2 linked regions of the Arabidopsis thaliana genome follow. The protein of the gene in region 1 interacts with the protein of each later gene in a pairwise test. Each region holds a gene or a part of one and is shown in the gene's direction. Other genes may lie near its edges. The genes, in order: AT4G22235 and AT5G42220.

The links.
Region 2: the proteins of AT4G22235 (region 1) and AT5G42220 interact in a two-hybrid assay, tested with the Arabidopsis thaliana proteins (one large-scale study listed by BioGRID).

What each region holds. Positions count from the first base shown.
Region 1 is NC_003075.7:11,760,218-11,765,810, forward strand, and holds AT4G22235 (defensin-like protein), read left to right. Parts: upstream 1-3,407; 5' UTR 3,408-3,507; coding exon 3,508-3,577; exon of another isoform or gene 3,578-3,666; coding exon 3,667-3,872; 3' UTR 3,873-4,111; downstream 4,112-5,593. Other genes in the region: ISU1 (SufE/NifU family protein), read right to left, coding at 367-664; AT4G22230 (defensin-like protein), read left to right, coding at 2,075-2,150, 2,238-2,440.
Region 2 is NC_003076.8:16,869,112-16,879,793, forward strand, and holds AT5G42220 (Ubiquitin-like superfamily protein), read left to right. Parts: upstream 1-3,126; 5' UTR 3,127-3,383; intron 3,384-3,845; 5' UTR 3,846-3,850; coding exon 3,851-3,979; intron 3,980-4,073; coding exon 4,074-4,191; intron 4,192-4,495; coding exon 4,496-4,594; intron 4,595-4,686; coding exon 4,687-4,802; intron 4,803-4,896; coding exon 4,897-4,983; intron 4,984-5,158; coding exon 5,159-5,353; intron 5,354-5,440; coding exon 5,441-5,510; intron 5,511-5,582; coding exon 5,583-5,737; intron 5,738-5,868; coding exon 5,869-6,033; intron 6,034-6,110; coding exon 6,111-6,182; intron 6,183-6,253; coding exon 6,254-6,371; intron 6,372-6,448; coding exon 6,449-6,691; intron 6,692-6,764; coding exon 6,765-6,913; intron 6,914-6,996; coding exon 6,997-7,188; intron 7,189-7,309; coding exon 7,310-7,840; intron 7,841-8,064; coding exon 8,065-8,202; intron 8,203-8,281; coding exon 8,282-8,344; 3' UTR 8,345-8,366; exon of another isoform or gene 8,367-8,621; intron 8,622-8,990; and 2 more. Other genes in the region: AT5G42210 (Major facilitator superfamily protein), read left to right, coding at 62-94, 265-318, 452-493, 746-824, 934-1,004, 1,389-1,457; AT5G42223 (Defensin-like (DEFL) family protein), read right to left, coding at 9,499-9,659, 9,741-9,834.

The sequences.
Region 1 (5,593 bases):
TCATACATTAGATAACAGCAACAAATCCCCAGAGAGAAGATAGCTCCCACATAGAAGCTAAGCCAGAAACTGACGACATCGCATCAAAAAGATGAAATCTTTCTCAATAACATTAGGAGACTAGGAGTATTACAAATTCAGCATTGAATCACCAATAAAAACGTCTCAACTGACCAAATCATGCACTAATTTGTCATTAACGACACCAATCCCAAATTTGAACACCGAATCTCTACACGAACCCATCAATTTAAAACCTAATTTCTCCATTTGAGAAAGACTAATCAAAATCCCTAATTGAAATCATTTAATTTCTCTAATTCAATCCTCAATCGAACAAAACACGAAATTAGAATATAAACATACCAACAGATGAAGAAGCGATGGCTGAACCACAACCAAAAGTCTTAAAGCGAGCATCAACGATTTGACCAGTCTTCTCATCGACCTTGATTTGAAGCTTCATCACATCACCACAAGCGGGAGCTCCTACGAGTCCCGTACCAACGTTGGGATCATTCTTATCGAAAGACCCAACGTTGCGGGGATTATCGTAGTGGTCGATGACGTTCTCATGGTAGGTTCGGAGGATACCAACAGACCACGGTGTTGATTGACGTGACGTAAGCCCTAGGGCCTTCTTCGCAGCTTGCTTGAGCATCATCGTGTTTTTTTTAGGGTTTCGGAAGTAACTTTTGCTCCGCTGATTTTGGTAATGAGAAATGAGATCGGACTTTTCCTTTAAGGGTTGTGAGAAGAAGTCGGTTTGGTTTCAGACAGAGAGATAAGCGAGGGGACACGTGGACGGTTTAGATGGTTCTGAGATATTTGCTATTTCTTTTTTCTTTTCTTTTTTTCCTTTGATTTTTTCTTTTAGTATTAGCTAACTTGAGACGCTAACCTAAACTTTAGATTGAGATTTTGATAAGTTGACTTTTTCTTTTCAATTATATTTTTGATATCCTTCAAATGTTATAGTTTATAAGACCTATCGCTCATAAATCGTACTTTTCAAGTTTACAATTGAATCGGAACATACTTCTTTTACGCAAACAATAGTCATGATGATTTAGTATGTGTATAGAAAGTTCTCAAATTTCAAGTGATGAAACAGTCTATTTAAAATTAACCTTAATTCATTAACGTATAGTTAATCATAACAATTAAACCTATAAGTTATAGGCTATAACAACATTATAGGCGAATGTCTTCGTCTAGATAAGTTGTGAGGAGCCATCTACGACTGTGCATTGTCCTATGGTAAACATATATTTGGTTAATGGTTGATCTTGATCATTTGAAAAGTCGTTTTGCAACATTAACAAATATATTTGTCTGTTATTTTTAGACGGCACCACCGGAACGGATTGGAAGCAAGATCAAGTAATAGATCTGAGATTTGGAAAGCTTCTCGTGAAGCGAGTTAGATAGCAAATTAAGTTGAGGATTGAGAAATATGGATTTTAAAATATATTAATATGTATTTTTTAAAGTAGTACATATAGATTCGTAAATATAAAGTTATTTTAAGACACGAGTTCATTATGCATCTATACCGTGAAACATGTGGTACCGAGAAACAAACAAAAATTTAAGTTTCATTATGCATGCAATTGGTTTCAGATATAATATTTTTTTTTGGACAAAGGTTTCAGATATACTAATAAAAAGCAAAAACAAACAAACAAATATGATTGAAGGAAAAATGAATCAATGATGATGATGAGCGCTTGGTCTCCGTTGATTTAGCATCTACCACTTTCTTTGGCATTGTTGATTAGTATCTAAAAGTTGACTAATTTAATGAAGAAATCAAACGAAAGATTCTAAATATCTATCTTTATCTACACAATACAATAGTATTGATCATCTACAATAAGAGTCGGGGGTGTATTCAGTTAACTATTTAAAATGATTTGTCTTAAAATCATATATCTTACGTCATTTTAATCCCAACGACTTGTCCAGTGCTAGCTATAAATTAAAAACTCGCCTTTTGCCTAAATGAATCAATCACAAAGAGAGAGAGGGAAACAAAATAGAAAGAAAGAAGCTAAGAACTAATAAGCAATTAATGGGGAGCTTAAGGTTGAGCACAGTCGCTATTGCAGTAGTCGTTTGTCTCTCCATTCTCCTCATATCTCCTACAGGTACGTAAAAAAAACCAAAGTCTTTGATCCCAAGATCTAAAATAAAACATGTTTATAAAATGTAGTATCTTCCTATTGATTGGACAGAAGTAGATGGGAGGCAAGTGTGTGACTACGATAAAGGTGAATGTAATAGTTATGAGAAGAGCTCTACTTGTATTGAACCATGCAAGCAATTGGACAGCAAGTTTATTGGAGGCCGATGCATACCTGTTGGTGGTATTACTGGTATGGGGTTATGTGTTTGCTGCCGTGATGTACAGCGTGGTGCTGAAAAGGAAAGCATGTGATTTGCAAATGATACAAAACGACGTCACTTTGTGTCTGTGTTTTGCGATTTGCATGTTAATGATTTCAGCTCAAAATCTATATTTGAGTGTTTGCCTTCTACAGATCTGTTTGTTTTGAATTGTCAAGTCTTAAATAAAGTTGGATTGTTTTCCGATTATGACCTGACCTATTCATCATATTTTTTTATTTTTTTTATTTTTGTCTAATTGAAATCTAAATCGGAGGGGAAAAAATCAACAAAAAGAATTTTATACGAGTACATTAATTCTTGCAAATGTTAAATTATCCGTCTTATGATTTATACAAATAAGAATTGAATTAAGGGAGAAACTGATAAATACTTGTTCCTAACAAAGTTTAATAGATGTGTTGAGAAAACACACTTGTCCGTCGGTATAGACACTTATTCACCAATTTAGAACAATATGTAGATGTAGTTAGCTAGTTTATTAACTATAGTTTTTCTATTTAGCTAATTGATTTTATTTAGCATTTACCACTTTTTTTGGCATTGTTGATTACTATCTAAAAGTTGACTAAACAAAATACGTGTTTAACGTTTTTTTAGCTGTCATAATATAGTAATATACAATTCGAGTTGGTATAATAAATATCTGATCGCATCTAAAAGGAAATAGTGAATGGAACGACTTACAAAGAAGTATAATAATCCAACTATTTTTAAAATATCTCCTCCATGCATCCAGATCTGAGATTTGAAAATCTTCTCGGGAACCGGATCGGAGTGAAATTAGTTATACAATTTACAACTATATATAAATTTTAAGAATTTGATTTAAGAAAACATATGTCAATGAAGTCGTAACAGCTAGTCACACGACAGTAAAACGAACAACCTAAACGACGACCAGTTACAGCAATAGTAAAACGAACAATATATAGTAAAATCTGATCGAAGTCGCTAACCGTATATTACGGGTCGCAGTTGCTAGCGTGCGAGTTTACATATAGAATACAATAAAATTGCATGTTTGGTTAAGCTCTCTCCCAACTAACTATTGCTAAAAAAGAAAGAAGCTAAGAAGAACTAAGAGATCAGCAAGTAATGGGGAGCTTAAAGCTGAGCACATTTGCAATAGTCGTTTGTCTCTCCATCCTCCTCATATCTCCTATAGGTACGTAAAAAAGACCAAAATATTTTGATCCAAAGATCTAAAATAAATACATGTTTATGAAATATTGTCTCTTTGTATGGATCATACAGAAGTGAATGGATGGGGAAAGTGTGACTTACGAAAGGGTTTATGTAGACTCGCGGACACGATCTCTACTTGCGATGTACCATGCAGGGCAGTGGACAGCAAGTATCATGGAGGCGAATGCTTAAATGTTGGTGGTGGTCAAGGGATATGTTGGTGCTGCCGTGATTATGATGCTGCAAAGAGCGGTGCTGAAAAGGAAAGCATGTGATTGCAGATGATAGAAAACGACGTCACTTAATTTGTGTGTCTGTGTGTTTTGCTATTTGCATGTTTATGATTTCATCTCACATCCATGTTTGAGTGTTTGCCTTCTACTTTGGGGGTATCAAAATAAAGCTTTGGCTTTTGCAATAAAACTAGCTGTCTAAATTGTGTCGTTGTTTTGTTTCTTTGTTCCTTCACTTTAAACTTTTTCAGTTTTTTTTTTATAAAAAAAAATTCAAACACAAATACGTAATGATGTAGACATGTATTGTGTTACGTTTGTGTTCGTTATAATTTTTGTAATTTTTAGGTGTCATATACTGATAAAATGCCAAAAGTAGTCTGATATATATGGACTATAGTTGCTTTTTTTAGTGGTTGTCATCTTAGTCTTAGATCCATAAATTTATTTAAATTATTATACGAAGAAGGTCGGATGATGAAAGTTACTATTATTATGATAGTGTTTTAGATAATACGAATACAATAATAGTAATCAATGTATATCTTGTTTGACCGTGAAAAGTTTTAGACCCAAGAAATGGACCCTGTTTGTTAGGTGGTGGCAGAAATACTTAATTCCTTTCCAAAAATAAAACACGATTATTTTTCTTTTATACGTTTGCATAAAATTACAAAATTACAAAAGAGAACTAGTCCTTGTTGTTATATGCTGTAATTCTAATGGACCATTCTTATTTTTATTTTGTACTTAACATGATAAAATTTATAAAAATACTGTAAAACATTAATGAGTGAAGAAGATTCGGGAGATACACTTTGCATGGCTGCACATGATATGTCTTAAAACAAGTGACTTTTAAGACAAACCACAATTATTTTCTCTTTTTTCAGTAGTTTGGCAGATTACAAATTTATTGCGAATTTATCATCTAAAAGACTAAAATATAGTAATAGAAAATAAAAAAAATCATCTGCAAACCTAAACAAAAGAATGTATTTTTGACAACAAACTATATTATTACTAACGGTAGTTAGAGCGGACAAATACGTCAGCGATTTAGTCCGCTCTATTTTTAAAATGGGCAATAAACCGTTACGAACTAATTATATTTGTATGTAAAAACAGTCCGTAGTTAATCTGCAGTGGTTTTTTTTTTCTTTTTTAAATTCGCACCTATACAAATATGAATGATAAATAAAAAACAGTTCAAACCGCAAACGAATTTGTCCGCCTTAACCGTTGCAACCATTCAAATCCTATATAGCAAATATGTGCTACAATGATAAAGAGAGACATAGAAGAAAAAGAAAGTAATAAAACTCAGTTTACAGATTATTCTTCATTGTTATCATTATTATTGTCTCCTCCACTTTCAGTTTTGGCTCTGATTCATGCTCTCCGCATCAAACCCTCCACCAAACTGTACATAACAAAACACAGTTTCAAACTTTCAGTTATATGAGAAATTTGGTCAATTTAGGTTTCTTATGTTCTTGTCTGAATTGAGTTTTTCCTTTACCTGATGGTCTCTAAATAAATTACAGAAAGAACAAACACATTCAAAATAGGGCTTCAGATATTGAGAAACTCTATGGCATATGCTAGAAACCTCGAGTACTATACTAACAAGTATCCCATACCATACTAATAGAACCATTTCCAGTGACTGAGTCCCTCAAAAAAAAAATGATAGGCATCAAGCACAGAGTGAACCAATTAGACAACAAAATGACAGTCATCATCTCGATTCTTATCGAAAG
Region 2 (10,682 bases), on another chromosome or scaffold:
GAGCCCTTAAATTTGACTACACATGAACATTTTCTTATATGTTGCAATCTTAATTTTGCAGATGTTCCTACTATGTGTGGCATGGTCCTCATGGGTATTAATTATATCCTTTTAAGAAATTTTTCTTCATTTCCTTTTTTCTTTTTTTTTTTCATGTTGGATAGTTCATTTTCTTTGCAATATCTTTTGGCGTTAATAAGAATTGCCTCTTTAGTGAAGATTTGTGAGATCGATTATTGGCTAAAGATAATTTAAAACTCACAGGTTCCATATATGGCAGCCATATTTGCACTTTTCTCAATATTTCCTTCATCGTGTGTAAGTTTACATATTATATATATAGATTTTTTTTTTTTTTTGTCAACACATATTAGATATTTTTTATTCGAGTTTATACTTTAATTATATATTGAAATGTATTGTAATTCAACAATTCAAATTTAATTTACAGATGCGAAGCATTGTCTCCAAACAAGTAGCATCATATGAACAGGTAACTAAGTCTTGACTTATAACAAATTCCATTCATTTTATTATACCATAAATACTTCTTGTATAAAATGGACAGAAGAATAAATTATTTCAAAGAAAGAAAAAAGGAGTAGGATTAGTGGCTTACATGAGAAATAATGTTATTTTTACATGAAATCGAACGTTATTATTTAATTTGTGCGAGACTGGTTTTGACTTTTATCAATTTGGTTAATCGGTCAATGCAAACTCTAACTCTCGGTAATATTTTCAGGGGAAAGCCCAAGGAATTATTTCAAGCATATGTTCCCTTGCAAATGTCATTTCCCCGCTAGCATTTTCACCTCTAACAGGTTTCATCACTATTTACATAAGCATTGTTTAATAATGCTATTTCAAAAACTTCTGTAGATAGAAATGCAAATAACTTGCTACTAACACTAGTATTTTTATTTTTCTTAGATTGGTTTCTGTCTGAAAGAGCCCCATTTAATTTCCCAGGGTTCAGTATAATGTGTGCGGGATTTGCCATGGTAATATACTTTATGTTTTTGCATTTTCTACTGAAATTCACTCAAGTTAGCCTCCATGAAACTATACAAATAAATGTCCGGTTAAACCAAGAAAGGAACGTTATCCTTTTAATTAGTTTTTACTTTCTTAGTTTTCATACTCTTATCTAATTCACAACGAATGCTGTTGTTGGTTGTGCAAAAAGGAAACTTTAAATCTTATCTAATTTCCCATGAAAAATCACTAACTCATTCAGTTCTTTTTTTTTTGGTTTAACATTTAGTTATATGACAATGTATGTGAAACATATAAACCTTTTAATTGATTCCTCAAAGTTATATGAGTTGTTCGATTACTAAGAAAAATAATATATATAATGTCCGTTACTTTGTTTTTCTTTGTAGACTATAGCTTTCATCCAAAGCCTGATGATCAGAGCAGCAACACCAATATCAGTTATGGGATCTCCATAACACAGTTTCCTCAAAACCATATGGATTTCGTAGTGAAAGATAATATACAGGTTTTAATTGCATTGGTCGAATCCTTGATGTTTTTTTTTAACCCATATTGTGTACGGGTTTATGATATCTAAAGTCAGCAAGACACCAATAGCTTGTATAGGTTAGTCAATAACTCCTAGGGGAAACACCATATTTAATGGCCGTTTCAGTTAATTTAGATATCTTCTTTCTTTTTTTGAGTTCAAAGTTAGTTTAGTTGTCTAAAGCAACAAAATAGCTCCAATATTTGTATCATTAAATTTATTTATATACATCATAATTATTTTTGTATATATAGACATAATTGAAACATGTTTTATTATAATCTATATATACATTTTTGCAGCCATTTTGTGAAATAAATCCTTTAGTTGTGACTTATTTACAATGGCTGCCACTGGATTTTAATGTTTGTTTTTGATAATTAAAAAGAAAATATTCGAATTAAATATTTGACATTTAACAATCTTCCCAAAATATCTCCACATTAACTACACGATTATTTACTAAAATAATACTTCCAAAATATTTAATATCATTTAATTACTACAAAATTATCATTTTTGATATTGATTTTCTCCATAACTATAACAATTCGATTATAATCATCAAAGCGCAGAGATATAATCTGATAGCATTTAATTACTACAAAATTACAAAATATTTAGACAATGATTCATAAACATATCATAAATAAGATCAACATTAATAAAATAAATAGTTTTTTTTTTACAGGACGGGTTTGACAGGACGATACTTAATAACATTTGTAAACTATAAAATAAAATTATTTTATAGATAGATACAATTTGTAAACTTTTATATATACTAACTTTAAAAAATAAATTGTTCCCGCGGTATACCACAGGTTAAAATCTAGTTGTTTTTGTATTTTAACTAATAATGTGGACTAAACTTTAGGTGGAATACCTTTAGTTAACGGATCCGCTTTCATGAAATTTCTACCTATATGCTTAACTGAAACCACATCATCTTGAATCCTTTCTCACACAATATGACACTCTATGTCTATATGCTTTGATTGTTCTACTTTTGTTGTTGTTTGCATATACACTGCCGCAAAATTGTCAGACTAAACTTTAAATGATCTTTCGACACATAACCAACATGTAGTGTTTTTCACAGACTGTTCAAACCTAATGAATATAGTGTTTTCCCTAACCTAATGGCCGGTGTATTCTACAATTTTGAAAGATTTGCCTGAGTGACAATAAAAAAATCTCAAGCTTGTTTCTATCTCTAATCTCTTATACTGCAAATGTTAGAACGAATACTTTGGCACGAAAAATTCGTACTGAATCGCTTCATATATGTAAACAATTTTTTCTAAAGTTGACTCATTTGAACATTAATATAATTTGATGACAAAAAATAATAAAATAATAACCATTATTAACGACAACAATAACATAGATTCGTTTCAGTTATATGTAAACCATAATCTTCATGATTAATCCAGTTATGTGTAAACTTAAATACTTAAATATTAGAAATCAAAATTACATAATAAAACAGAAAAAGAAGCACATGTTTAAAATTTATTTTAGATATGGTTAAAAAGGCCAGGCCCAGCTTTATATTATTAATAGAAGAGTCCACATTTAGAGCGGAGACTAGGCCTATATTCGCGGAAGCGTCAATTCAGGTTTTCAAAACGTCGTCGTTGTATCTTCCTCCTCTAGATTCTTCTTTTTCTTTTCAATTTCACCAAAATCCCGAGTTCCCGACACAATCGCCCTTGTTCTTCCCCTTTAACTCTGAACACATCAGGTTTGGTTTCGTGTTTCAACTTTGAGATACTTCTCTAGATTTCAATCGGAGAGTCTTTTGTTCCGCCAAAGTTTCAATTTTTCAATACCCCACGACGGCAAATAGGTTCGTTCTTCGTTGCCTTCATGGAATTTGATTGTTTTTTTCTTAAATCTTGATCCTTTTTTTCCGTATCTATAGGCTCTGTTTTTGCCTTAGCAGATTTGTTTTTGGGTTTGGACGGTGAAAGTTTTGATTTTTGAACAGTGATATTACAATGACTTGCATTTATTTGGGTCTGGGTCTTTTGTTTGTGGCTTTGGATGGTGAAAGTTTTTGATTTTTAGCATTTTTATTACAATGACTTGCATATATATAGGATTTGGTCTTTTGTTACAATGACTAGCATTTAGTTATGTCATTTGTTTGTGTCTCATTGTTGATTCTGTTTTGTATGATCAATATCTGGAAATGTGTGTGGTAAAGGTTTTGATTTGAGTACCCTAGAGATAATATTGTTTATTATGAGATCATTCTTTTGTAAGATGAATTTACAAGCTTTATGTTTTTTAAATTTTAATACTTTAGGGTTCATGGAAGATCAACCCATTAACCAGTGCTCTAGTAGCACCAATGCGTCGGAGAAAACTCCAGAATCAACCCTTGAGCTTAACATCAAAACGTTAGACTCGCGGACGTATACTTTCCAAGTGAACAAGAATGTAAGAAATCTTCTTCTTCTTCTGCTTCACCTGCATATTTGCTTAAGTTTAGTTTGCTTATATCTGATACTGCTTAGGGCTTGACTTGTTGCAGGAAACTGTTTTGCTATTCAAGGAGAAGATTGCTAGTGAGACAGGGGTGCCGGTTGGTCAGCAGCGGCTCATTTTCCGAGGACGGGTTTTGAAAGATGATCATCCTCTCTCGGAGTATCGTATCCTAGTGCTAGCGACTTTGTTAACTTGTTGATTTTATGTTATAGTGTAGCTGTTTGTTGCATTATGCCATGTGCCCTGTGTATAAAATGCATGTTAACCAAATCTGTCGGAAGTCTAGTTTTTGATTGATCAAGTGCATCTCTGCTTTTGTGAGTCTTACACCGTAGAGGAAGCTGTAATCCAGAAAGAGAACTATATATATATATATACCTTCGATAAGCTTAGTTTTAGTTTATGTCTGTCGTTTCCTTCCATCGCTTTTCTACTTTCAGTATAGTTGATAACTTGACATCGTCATAGATTTGGAAAATGGGCATACTTTACACTTGATTGTGAGGCAGCCAGCAGAATCAGCTCCTTCCTCTGGTACACCTTCACAAGGGGCAACTGCAAATGATGGTAATCAAGTTATTTTTTATCCCCTTTCTGAGTTTTAAAAGAGCTGTTAACACAACCATCATCTTATTTCAACTTGTTATTTAATTCAACAGGAAATAATACAAATGGTGGACCATCTCGAAATGGAAGACATGTCTCCCACAGCGTAGTTCTTGGGTCTTTTAATGTTGGAGATCAGACAGAAGGCATTGTTCCAGACCTCAGCCGGGTAATCCCCAAGGATTTGTGATATTGTTTGGCCTATGGGATGGTTTGATTAGTTAGGCTAACCTGCTTTTAATTTTGTGTTGCTAACTACTAAGGTCATTGGAGCAGTTCTAAATTCTTTTGGAGTTAGTGGACAGCTTCCTACAAATCACAGTACTAATGGCACGCAATCCTCTATGCCCGTGAGTTTTTTTCTCGTCACTCTCTATTTCGAATTTATTCCATATTAGTGCTTAGTCTACATTAAGGATTGTTGAGAATCAGGTGTTGTTACTATTTGATGTGTAAGGTTTCATATTGTCATCAACTATTGCCTGTTTCTAAACTCGATGTTGCATGCGCTTTTATTTTTCCTAGTCGAATCAGTCGTCTAATGCACCTCCTGGAAATACATCTGATGGAGAGCCTGGCATTGGTGGTCAAAGCCAAGCTACGGGTCATTCACAACCTAGGCAAGCATTTCCTGGTGTATCATTTCAAACATCGATGCCTCGTGTAGTTCAGATTCCTGTTACAGCAGCCACAACGATTCCTATCCCTTCATTCTTAACGGTAGTTCTTAGTCACGTAGTAGTATTTTGATCTTGAGACTAGAGCTTTAATCTTGTCATTTTACAATGTAACTCTCTAATTCTGCAGCCTATTCCGGATTCCTTAGACACTCTAATGGAGTTCATTAATCGGATGGAGCAGGCATTATCACAAAATGGTATTGTGATCTAAGTTTTATTGTCATATTGGATAGAGAACACATAAATAAGTTAATTGGATGTTCCTCCAGGCTATCAGCCAGATACCTCTTCTGCTGGATCCGGAGGGCGACCAAGGGAAGAGTTGCCTAGAAATAGACGAGGTGCAGCAACACCTGAAGCACTCTCTGTTGTCCTAAGGAATGCACAACATTTACTGAGTGGTCTCGGTGTCTCTTCTTTATCGGTAAACACCTTCTTCACACTGCTTATTAATTGATTCCATTCTTTCTCTTTACAAGAACTGTTATGTATATGGTTACCATGCATTGTCATCTAATTATGTGCTGTTTGTAATTTGCAAAAACATTGTTGTAGCATATTGCGGGACGTCTGGAGCAAGATGGTTCATCTTCAGATCCTACTCTAAGGTCACAAATCCAGACAGAGGCCGTGCAAGTAGGTCTTGCCATGCAACATTTAGGGGCCCTCCTACTGGAGCTTGGACGCACAATTTTGACATTGAGAATGGCACCGTCGCCGGTGCGTTTTGGGTCATTCCTTTCGTGCATTTTCCTATTCATTCTTGACATGCGGCTCATTAACACTTTGATCTACAGGAATTATCCTATGTGAATGCAGGGCCTGCTGTGTATATATCTCCATCAGGACCGAATCCTATTATGGTTCAGGTAAGCTTCTAGTCTCATCTTTTTTCTAAATTAATTTTCTACTTTTATGTAATTATTACTGTATTTTGCAGCCTTTTCCTCACCAAATCAGCCCTCTCTTTACTGGTGCTACTGTCTCATCAAATCCACTAACCGGACCTGTTGGTTTAGGAACTGCCCAAAGGCACATTAATATTCACATACATGCTGGTGGGTGAAGTTCACTTTTTTGCTATTGGACTTAGCTGCACAATTCTTCTCCATTAAAATTCATACTTAATTACCAGGCACATCAGGTTCACCTATGTTGTCATCAGTTGGGAACCAGCGAAGCAATGGAGAAGGAGGACAAGGAGACCGTGACAGCAATACAAGTTCAGTTCCTGCGGCTGTTCCATCACACTCTACCGGTGAGAACGTTTCTGCTGGGGTTCAACCTGGTTTGGGTGATGATGTTTCAGTTGCTCAAATCAATGCAAGGATAAGAGATATGGTAAACATTATGCAAGGAAGAGACCAGATTCCATCGGGTAGGTTTCCTGCTGACTAAAGTTTTACATTGTGGACGAAATGTTTTCAAGCTCTTCTTCACGTGTCAATCAGGAATAGAATCTCTCGAGAGGGATATGTCTACGGGCCATGGTGTTGCCACTGCTATGCCTGAGCAGCCTACCAACATTGCAACTACTTGCGCACCTGAGTCGTCTAGTGGCTCACTGCATGACTTACCATCTGAGAGGAGCAACTCAGTGGTATGTCTTCTCTGCAATCAGATGATTCTTTATTTTATGTTCACCAGGGTTAGCCTACCACTAATTTTTGTTTTTTCAACCAGTGTCAAAATGAAAAAGATCTTGGTGGAGATTTAGAGCATCCAGCCCGAGCAAAAGATACCTCTTGTACTACAGGACAATCATCAGCTCCGTCTGGAGATGCTACCGGTGATGCCAAAGAAACCAATAAGGCTACTCCAGAGGTAGCTACAGCTACACCACTTGGATTGGGGCTTGGCGGTTTAGACCGTAAGGTAATGAATCAGTTGAAAAATAAGCGTCAAGTTGCTGCTGCTTGTTTTTCATTGCATAGCATATCCACAAGTGTCATAGTTCCAAATGCTTACAGTCATAGTATGTTTTTTTTGGTTAAAGAAACGAAGCAAGCAGCCGAAGGTATCAGGTAAGACTGAAGATAGCGGGACTTCAGCTACACTTGAAGGTGTGCAACAAAGCAGTGGGACCAGTGGTCAGCAGCTTTTGCAATCTCTCTTTTCTGGTAGTTCTCGTTCAGATGAGACTGGTCTTAGACGCGGGCAAGGTTCAGATGATCGTGTAGATGTCTCAAGTGCAATGTCTCAGGTCCTGGAGAGCCCTGTATTGGATGGATTGCTAGCAGGGGTATCTCGACAAGCTGGTGTTGATTCACCAAATATGCTGAGAAATATGCTCCAGCAGTTTACCCAGAATCCACAGATCATGAACACAGTCCAACAGATTGCGCAACAGGTGGATGGGCAAGAGATAGAAAATATGATGTCAGGTGGAGCTCAAGGCGAGGGCGGCGGCTTTGATTTCTCTAGAATGGTCCAACAAATGATGCCTCTAGTCTCACGTGCTTTTAGCCAAGGAGGGCCATTGCCTCATCCCGCAACAATACAGCCTGATGATCGTCAACCTTCTCAGGTACATCTACGAGTGTTAGGTTTGGATTTCTTGCGTTTTTGATTTAGGAAAAAAATGTGGCTGAAGAAAAACTGATACTATTATCGACTGAGTAGGATTTTGTTGTTGTCTTTTTTTAGTTGTAGAAAAAGTAACACCATTCTTACCTAGGTATTACAATAAACGTCATTGTCTCTTGTTCTATCTCGTGTAATGAATGTTATTTTTCTACTTTTTCCAAATAGGTAAATGTTCAATCCATGGCTCAAATGATTGAGCACTCTGATCCACCAGAGGATGTCTTCCGTGCAATGGTCGAAAATGCTGCGATAAGCCAAGACGAACTAGTGAACGAGCTTTGCTGTGATGAAGCTCTTTCTCAAGTAAGCATCAAAACTGACTAGTTTGTTTGTTTAATAAAAATAAAGACTCCTTGATCAGACTTGTATTTGAGTGTTGCAGGAATATGCGGAGTTGCTAAGACGTGATATCGAAGGCCGGCTAAAAGATGATCAAGGTCTATAAGATATTTGGTTGAATTGGTTCTGTAAGTGTCATATCTTTGAAGTATCTTTGTTTATTTGCTGAGATCCCTCACTTATGTATTAAGAATTAGGGTTTGGGATGGTCTATACTCTGCTAAACATAAGCAAACGTAATTTATCTGGTCTCTAAAGGGCCGATTCAATTTGATATTTCCATCTTTAACCAGAGATTACTCATAACTCTCGACATTGACCAAATTACTTGGGAAAAAGGTGTCCCTTTATAACTGACAATTTTGGTTTTGATCGAAAATTTGGCTAAAGGGCTACACTAACGAGTGACTGTAGCAAATTATATATTTAGTTTAATTCCTTAACAAATAGGTAATAAAGATTGCACAATAAATATGGAATGTAAACTAATAAATAGTAGAATAATTCAGAAAAATGAACTGTCACGACAACCCCAATAATAAGATGTTATATATTATTTAATTTTTATAAAAAATTATATATTATAAAATTTACTATGAATTTTTAATATGTTTAAAATTACAAAGTTGTTGTGTTTGTTTTGTTGTACAAATTTATAATTTTGGATTATGACAAATTAATAATATTGTTTTATTTTATATTTAATTTCTAAAAGATTATTAAAATTTGTTTTATGGTTTTACGTATTCAAGGGTTGTGAACAATTGATCACCACCGGAAAAATTAAGGATGACGACAAAATTGAACTAAAACATCATGGGTTCAGAGATTTTCAAGATCAGCGAGCCATGACTTAGCGACATCGGAGATCATGAACATTCCTAAGACAAGCTGTCTTTTGTGATGAGTTTTGCAAATAATTGTTTCATCGCTAATTTTTCTTACTTATGACTTTTCTAGAGTGAAAAAGACTAAATTTTTAATTATTATTAGGACCCAAGTTCGAGATTTTCTAAAATAAATCTCAAATGGTTCACCAAGATATTGCAACGTTTGTATTTCATCCAAATTGAGCGAAAAATGAATAAATGTTGCAATTCCTTCATTTGAAAAGATGCAAAAGAGAAACATCGATTGTGTCAAATCAAACCAACTTCAATTATGGTATGCTTTGTGCATTTCACTCTCGATCTTTTGAATATTCAAAGTCGTATGAAAACTAGTTATGTTGCTTTTAGTAAATATCAACATTTTATTAGATTATTTTGTCACACAACAACAATGCTTTTGATGATCAGGCTTCATAGTACATTCCCCATATAAGTAATAGGCTATTCTTACACAAAAGAACAAGCATCCTTCGTAACCATTTTTACACGGTTCTGGGCCGTAGCATTTATCTTCTTGCTTTATTTCAAAACCTATATTATAGTAATAATCAAGAGATCAATATATATATAAACTCATAAGAAAAAAGTGGTTGATTCATAATAAGATAGTACCAGAAGTGTTATCTAATTCCGAGCAATAAACGAAAGGCATGACAAAGAGGAGGATGAGTACAAATGCGGCAAAACATTTCTTGGTGATAGCCATGTCTAATATAGTCTCTTAAATTTTCTTACGACTGATTCTAGCACTTACGATGATTATATATATAATAACACAAACATACATTCAAAGGTTCTTTTTGGTGAAAGAGGAAAAGGAAAAGAATCCAAAAAAAAATTCTCTTGAGTTAGTCAAAAGAAAAAATAAAGAGATAAGTATTCTTACCTAATTATGTTTGAAACATTAATAAGATAACATACATTGTTTTACAAATATTTAAATACGAAAATTCTTTTCAATTCAATTAAAAAAAAAAAAGATCTCAGGTTCCATGGTTGGAACTTGAAGTTAAATTGAATTTTTTGTTAAAGATAAGATGTAATAATTTGATCTAAACAGAATTAGTTTATATTATATCATTCTTTAATATGATTAAAGGGTCTATACTTAGTTTATTAAACAAATATACATAATTTTTTAAGAAATATATATTTTTATACTAAAATAATATATATATATATTGTGAATTTTAACGCCTTCTATAGTTAAAAATATTCAAGTAACAACTTTATGTCTGATATATATTCAATAATTTCAGATTACAATAAGTCTTCGCAATTCTTCGACAAAAATATTAAAAACTAGATATTAACCTGCGATACACCGTATGACGATATTTTATAACTAAAAAGGTGAAATTGTAAGTTGATTTGTTTAGTACTGTTTATTTTGTTTAGTGTTTAATAATGTATAATTGTATTTTGATTGTTAATGTTAGAATTTCACATGTCGTATAACATCGTGAAATTAAAGTTTAAATATTGATATTATTTGAAAAGTCATAAGAGTTTTAATATTATGATTGTTTTTATTTATTTTGTTTTGTCAAATCT